Linked DNA regions of Oryzias latipes. The protein of the gene in region 1 interacts with the protein of each later gene in a pairwise test. Links are inferred from orthologs where the notes say so. Each region holds a gene or a part of one and is shown in the gene's direction. Other genes may lie near its edges.

Evidence for each region.
Region 2: the proteins of usp19 (region 1) and E3 ubiquitin-protein ligase Siah2 interact in a two-hybrid assay, tested with the Homo sapiens proteins (2 studies listed by BioGRID). The link is inferred for Oryzias latipes from reciprocal best matches to the Homo sapiens genes USP19 and SIAH2.

Annotation. Positions count from the first base shown.
Region 1 is NC_019865.2:4,266,721-4,271,023, reverse strand, and holds the start of usp19 (ubiquitin carboxyl-terminal hydrolase 19), read left to right. Parts: upstream 1-1,315; 5' UTR 1,316-1,626; exon of another isoform or gene 1,627-1,695; intron 1,696-2,399; 5' UTR 2,400-2,569; coding exon 2,570-2,756; intron 2,757-4,303. UniProt on the Homo sapiens protein: Deubiquitinating enzyme that regulates the degradation of various proteins by removing ubiquitin moieties, thereby preventing their proteasomal degradation. Stabilizes RNF123, which promotes CDKN1B degradation and contributes to cell proliferation.
Region 2 is NC_019872.2:23,473,216-23,476,462, reverse strand, and holds the end of E3 ubiquitin-protein ligase Siah2, read left to right. Parts: intron 1-525; coding exon 526-705; intron 706-1,213; coding exon 1,214-1,585; 3' UTR 1,586-2,506; downstream 2,507-3,247. UniProt on the Homo sapiens protein: E3 ubiquitin-protein ligase that mediates ubiquitination and subsequent proteasomal degradation of target proteins.

The DNA of each region.
Region 1 (4,303 bases):
TGACCATAAATAAAGATTTTTGTGAAAAATGCCAGCCCCGAGTATCAAACCAGCGAGCTTCTGCACCAAGGATTCCCCGTGTATTTCAATGGAGGCAAAAATCATGGAATATCTTGAAAAGCTCAAGGATTTGAAGGAACAACAGTCATACCTGGAAAAAGCTGAAAGAGCTGAACATTTGAATGTTTAAAATAGCTGAACGATTTTAGAAGTTAAGCGGCAAAAAAAATTAGCAGAAGATACTAAAAGAAAGAAAGAGAAATGGGAAAACAAAGGCTTGAATACCTTATAGCTGGAACATGGAACGTCTATCAAGCATCCAGGAGATAAAACAAATGAACACAACTGTTGTGAGACAGAAGAGGTACGTTGGCAGCTGTAGAAATGATGGAACAGACAAACCGATTCAGTGGAACATCAATGGCAGGATGTCAGACTCCAGGACTCAAGGGCCGTTTTTGGAAATCCAAGTCTGACTTACTACCAATTACCTGGATCCAGGTTGGTTTTACCTTCAAGAGGTTACTATGGTAGGTTATTTGACAAACATGAAGGACACTGGCATGGGGTCAATTTTGCATCAGCTTAAAGTGAATGAAAAAAAAGAGATTTTAAATTTAAATTTTGAAAAAACTTTTAAACTCGAAATTAAACATTGTAAACTTGAAGTATCAATAAAAAATGTTTTTAAATAAAATTATAAATTGGAAAAACTGCACTTGGGGACACTTTTAAAGTTTTCCCAATTTTTCAGACTGACTGACCTTCATTTCTTACAGTAATGGTGGCCACTCGGTTTTCTGTACTTAGCTGCTTTTTTTCTTGCCATAATACAAATTTTAACAGTCTATTCAGTAGGACTATCAGCTGTGTATCCACCTGACTTCTCCACAGCACAACTGATGACCCCAACCCCATTAATAAGGCAAGAAATTACATTTATTAAACCTGACAGGGGATTTCAGGTGACTACAAAGCTCATCAAGAGAATCCCAAGAGTGTGCGAAGCAGTAATCTAAGCAAAAGGTGGCTACTATGAAGAACCTACAATATGACATACTTTAAGTTGTTTTACACTTTTTATGTATATAATTCCACGTGTGTTAATTCAGAGTTTTGATGCCTTCAGTGTGAAAATACAATTTTCATAGATGAAAATAAAGAAAACTCTTTGAATGAGAAGGTGTGTCCAAACTTTTGGTCTGTGCTGTATATAGAATTTACCCATAATAATACAAAGAAGAAATAAGTAAACAGTCTTCCGTTTCATTCTGTCTCTGAACGTAGGGAGGCGTTCTGGTCACGTGATAGCGCCACCAGGAAGTAGGTTCGCTTCGGTTTGAGTCGGGTCCATCCGGGCAGCGGGACAACAAAGTCGTCTTACTCTGCAGAGGCCGAATGACACCCGCGGATTAAACGAGGTCCTCACCTCAATGTGTTCTTAAATAAATTGCGGCAGACATTTCCATTCAGTTCACGGAAATGGGATCCGGCTAAATGTAGAACATTCTAGAAACACCGCGGACCGCTGGGGTTTCCAGTCCGGAGAAGGTGCGAAGCGGCCCGCGGCCGTGAAGCAAAGCGGCAGCAGCAGCCGGACGAGGAGCACCGAAGGCGGCCGCTATTGTGCGTTCAGACGGCGTGATTACCCTGTAATTTTTATATTTTGAAGCAAGTTTTACATTTGGCGTATTGGTAAGTCTGTAGCTTACGTTGACCCAGTGTTGTGTAGTGTTTTAGCTCCAATTTGAGCGTTTTCGTTGCAAGTGCTGCTAGCAAGCCGCTAACGACAATAGCTGCCGAGAGGAGCGTTTGATTTCAGGACCCGTTCTGCGCTTCACACGGAGAGACGGAATCTGTGGCTTAATAGTCCCACATTCTATGTTAATTATATGCTTCTGATATATAGTCAGTTGTGTGGCGTTCTTACTCCGTAGGTCGTTTGATATAATTCAAGTAAGTTTGTATTTTAGACCACAGTCACGTGACAGGCACATAAACATAATGCCCTAAAACAAACGAACCCCTCTGCTTAAGCTAGTTACTAGCTTAGCTAATATTTACTCTTTTAGTGTTGTAATTATTTGTTTGACGCCCGATATTTTATTTAAATGCATGTGAGTCGCATTGTTTTGTATATTGACAGGAAGAATTGGACTGTCTTGTGATTTTTGGCAACGAATTCAGACTCTTCTTTTGTCCGTTACCATTATAGCCTCGTCCTGGCTGCTGCAGTGCTTCTCTGTGTTGACATTTGAAACCGGCTCCCAAATGGCCTAAAGCAACAACCCCGTGGCTGTTTGCTGACTCATCTAACGTGGCTTGGCTTTGTTGTAGCAAACTTTGGTTAAATTACAGTTATGAATCATTAATATTTATACCCCCCCTCCCCCGTTTAGATCCCCACCTCTTTCCTCAACCTTCCTGATTCAATTCTGGGGGAGATCACATCAGTACCATCGCCAAGATAGCCGGCCCAGGCAGGAAGAGGCACACCTCAGATCCAGACCCCAGCAGCAGTGGTAGCGATTCCAGCGACGGGCGGCCGGTCAGCGCCAAGTGCCAGAAGATGGCCAGCAGTGGAGGCGGCGGAGATGGTCATCGCGTTGGGGCTCAGCAGAGAGGAGGCAGCGGCTCGGACGTGTCCTCCAGCAAGAAGAAGCAGAAGGACAGGGCCAACCAGGAGAGCAGAGAGGCCAAGAGAGCGGCAGTGGCGGCGGCGGCAGTGGATGGAGTTCTCGCCGAGGTCAAAAAAGGTAAGAGTCAAGCATTTATGTAGCTGAGAAATTCTTTAAAGTCTTTTTATCTGGCCATTTGTGGCATTTTTTCTAACGATGGAGGACATGTAAGACAGAAAATTTTGCTCAAAGTATTATTTCAAGAGTATTTCTCTATTCAAATTGTGAATCAGGAGCGGACAAAAAATATCAATTTGACTTGGGGAAGCGTTGAAATACGCTCCATCCTGCTCAGCTCCATTCTGATTAATTTTTGATTTTAACAAATGATTCACGGATTCATGAGCGTCTTTGTTTTTCCTGGTCTGAGTGGGTACCTGGCTCAAAGCTGTACGGCTGGATAGCTTCAATATTGCTCGCCATTTGTTGGACCAGTAATGTCAGGTTGGGGTAAGCATGTAAACGGAGAGCTCTCAGCAGAGTGGCAGGATACAGATTTTTTTAAGTTTAAGTAATAGGCTAAAATCTGCATAATAATGATTAGAAGACCACTGCTTTGAAAATAGGTCAAATGATGATCACTGGGAATATTGTGTAAATTGGAAACGTTATATTCAGCGTTCGAAATAAGCGGTTATCCGGTTGTCCGAGACAACCAGATTTCACAGAGGACAACCCAAAAATGAACTTGATGGTTGTCCGTGTGACAACCAGGTCTTTTATTCAACATTTTGGTATTTTTCAACTATTTTTCAAGTTTCAAGGGTTAGTTTTTGGCAACCTCTGAATTGAGACGTATGCAGCAAATTCTTTCCACTGACAAACTAAGTGCGTGCATGCTAGCGAATCTTTTCTGTTTCTACATTTTCACTTTTCAATAAAGATTATTCAAAGGAAGGTGTTGAACAACAGTACCTGGCGCGACCGCTAGAGGTCTCCAAAACAAGTTCAAAATAATCAGCCCATTAACAGAAGATTTAAAACACATTCATAAAACACTTTAACTTTCACTCATAACAGAACAGACTGACACGAGCTGAAAAAAAATTTTTTTCCATGGGATTTATATGATACTATAAATTTTTACTTCAGTCTTTGTATTTTATATTTTTTGAGCAACAATTATCAAAACCAAAGAGAGAAAAAAGAACCAATATATTTGAATCTGTGTAAAGATACTAGTTATAAAGATATTACTTTCAAGTTTTTGGCAATACTTTGTGTAACCAGATGCTTCAATATTTAGTAAAAAGTTTGTTTTTAATATTTAAAGAGTTTTTCAAATGTCCATCATAAGAGGCAGTTGATATTAGATGTATAGAAGAAATAAAGATGCAAGTACTGACATCTGAGTAGGTTTCATTGCTGTTGAATATTGGTATCGAAGGACAAGCAAAAATTGGGGACGAAAACCAAACATTACTTGCCAGGTTACACCCCCCCCCCCCCCCATTTCTAACGCTGTACAGTATATGCAGAGGTTCGGAACTAGGGACCCCCGCCAATACAGAGGGACCCCCCCCCCGCAGCCTAAGAATGTCCGTCACCGGCTCTTACTCATCAAAAACCCTTGTAAAACATCTATCAATTAATGTTGCTCAATAAAAGGGGTTACTTATTTATTT
Region 2 (3,247 bases), on another chromosome or scaffold:
ATCACTATTTCCTCATCTCAAAGATGGAAGCGTTGACTGTGGTTACCGTGGCAACAGTGTGCAATATGTCAGTGGAGTGGGATATTTTCAACAAAGCGAAGTTGGAGTTGCAATGCATGGTGGGAAACTGGAGTACACTTAAATGGATTCTGGATGTAATGGCCTTTGTCTTCAGGTTTCAGGAGGATAATTAGATTAGATTAGATTAGATTGTTATTTTCAGATGTTTTTCATGAGTCATCTTAATTTTTCCATCCAGCATGTACAATCAAGTACATAATGTATGATGGGATTGAATTCTTACACTTTAAGATCTCAGGATCATTTCTACATTATGACTAGATGTGGTCGGTATTTTTCTTTTGTCTCCCGATATTTAAAAATGAGAAAAATGTTGTGAAATAATCAATAGTTGGTGAAGTGCAGCAGCTGCTTATCTGCTGATGAACATCTTTCCTGCTCCTTTGCTCTTCGCCGGGGCTCCTGATGTTGGCGTCCAGCTGACGCCCGCTCTGTTTTCTGCAGTACTCGTCTGCCGGATGCCTGCTGTCTCTGCACCACAGCGAGAAGCCTGACCACGAGGAAGTGTGCGAGTTCCGGCCGTACACCTGTCCGTGTCCAGGAGCCACCTGCAAGTGGCACGGCTCGCTGGAGGCCGTCATGCCTCACCTGATGCACGCCCACAAGTCCATCACCACGCTGCAGGTCAGAACCGTGTGCAGATCCTGGTCTGAGAACTCCTGATGCTTCTGTCATGTCTTTTTAACGTGAGAATCCCTGACTCAGCATTAGCCTGAAGGAAGAAGAGACCAGATCTTCATTGTTCTTAAAGGTCACATCAGACCAAAACGTACAGCAAGTTCCTCCTTCGTGGTGATTCATGAAGGAGGACTTCCCTGTTTGTTTCCTCAGGAACCATCTTTCTGCCATTTACCTGCTTAACCTTCTATCTGCTGCACTAATCTGAAGCAGCAGATGGATCTGGTCACCATCTGGTTCTGGGTCCTGTTTAGTTGAGGTTCATTCAGAAACCTGCCGGACCTAAACCGACAGGAGCACGTCTCCCTCGAGGAGCAGATGACTGCAGATCAGCTGAAACTCCTGAAGCTTAGAACTTCCTCAGAAAGGACAGATTGTTCCTCATGAAGTCTGCTTCAGGATAAAGGTCTCCCATGCTGAGTCCGTCGTCTTCTTTCTTTCTTCCTGTCTGCAGGGAGAAGACATTGTCTTCCTGGCGACAGACATCAACTTGCCGGGCGCCGTGGACTGGGTCATGATGCAGTCGTGCTTCAGCCATCACTTCATGCTGGTTCTGGAGAAGCAGGAGAAGTATGAAGGTCACCAGCAGTTCTTCGCCGTCGTCCTCCTCATCGGCACGCGCAAACAAGCTGAGAACTTCGCCTACCGCCTGGAGCTCAATGGCAACCGACGCCGGCTGACCTGGGAAGCCACGCCACGCTCCATCCACGACGGCGTGGCAGCCGCCATCATGAACAGCGACTGTCTGGTGTTCGACACCTCCATCGCTCACCTCTTTGCAGACAGCGGGAACCTGGGCATCAACGTCACCATCTCCATGTGCTGACGAGCGACAAAGTCCAGCTCTGCGGCGCCACCGCAGACGTCATGACCTGACGCCGCTGATGAAGACGAGCCCGGTTGGATCAGCGCACAGATCTGTACACGGATGAGAGTGCACGAATGAGCGTGCACGTCAGTTCTGAACAGAGAGTGGAAGTACTTGCTCCATGACAGAGCCGCACAAAGCTCCACCTTAGGGTCCAAAACCGCCTGAGCACCGATCAGGGCAACCAGAACCGTTCAGACCCACAAAAGGACCACCTCAGTCAAGTGTCCTGCAGTCTGAATCAGCAACCTGTAACCATAGCAACCCTAAAATTATTATGCAAATGATGCCACGTGACGTCAACAGGGGGCGCCAGTGCATCAAAGCAGCTCAGGTTTTCGAGGTAAACTCCGCCTCCTCAGATTTCCCGCAGCTGCACTGAATGTTTCAGCGGCCGAACCGGAGGTTGCAGCGGCATTAAAGGGTGTTTGGCCCTGCAGACGCGCCGGAAGAATCCGTTAGGTTTCTTCCACGGTTTCAGACATTTTCTGGCGATTTCTGCTTTTTCAGATTTCCTTGTACTGTTGGATGAATTCCGAACTAAAGTCTGTGTGATCAGACAGACGATTATAAAATGTTTCTTTTCACTTCTGATTCATTTCTTTGTTTCTCTTCTTTTAATATCAGTTTTCTTGTACCTCATGATTTTAACTGGGAAGAAGGCGGAGCCTGTGTTTATGAAATAATTCATTCCTTCATGTCTGTCTCATAAACCAACCCTCTGTTGGATTTGATGAACCGATGTTTTGTAAGTGCAGATGGACTGAGCAGCAGCAGGCGGTGCTGTTCATGAGACAAAAAGCAGTTTTCCATCTGAGGTGCTGCATGTTTGACTCAAAGCAGCTTATAATAAACGTTTTTTTACTGTGGCTTCATGAATGAAAGCTTTCATCAAGAACTGTTGTCTGTATCCCTTGTGCTATCCTAGGCACTTTACCATTATCTAGACCAATGTTTTTCAACCAGTGTGCCGCGGCACACTAGTGTGCCGTGGGAGATGGTCAAGTGTGCCGTGGGAAATTGCCCTCATTAACTGATCTAAAAACTTTTCCCATATCCAGGATTTCAGCTCTCTGTTCATCCAAACAGGCCCTGATAAAACACTGAGGAGTTAGGAATATAAAATATTGTTAAATACTTTTTCTTTGCGTTTATTTTATCTTATTAAAGACATTTTGATAAGAATGACATTACCGCGATTCAGCTGCAGCTTCGGCTGTATTTTGGAAAAGTCCCGCCCTTTTAACTGTCTCCACCAATCATTCTTGGGGGGCTGAATCACATGTCATCAGTCTGACCAATCAGAAGTGCTTAAAGTCTTCACTTCCTTGTCCCGATTGAGCTCGTAAAGTCGCTCAGTTCTAACAAAAATTCCAGCTAAAGCTCGTCTTTAGCGCTGTAGCTTTCCACAGAATCCGGTATCAGACCGTGGAACAAGTGAACAAAACAATGAAGCTCCGAAATCCGATCTCCGGCCGTTTTATGCACTACATCTCCCATGATGCATTGGGTTGTGAGAGTGACAGCGCACAAGGAGATCTGTTGTTAAACGTCTTGAAACCAACGAACACACATCAAACTGTTTTTAAATCTTCTAACTTAACTTTTATTGCATCTTTT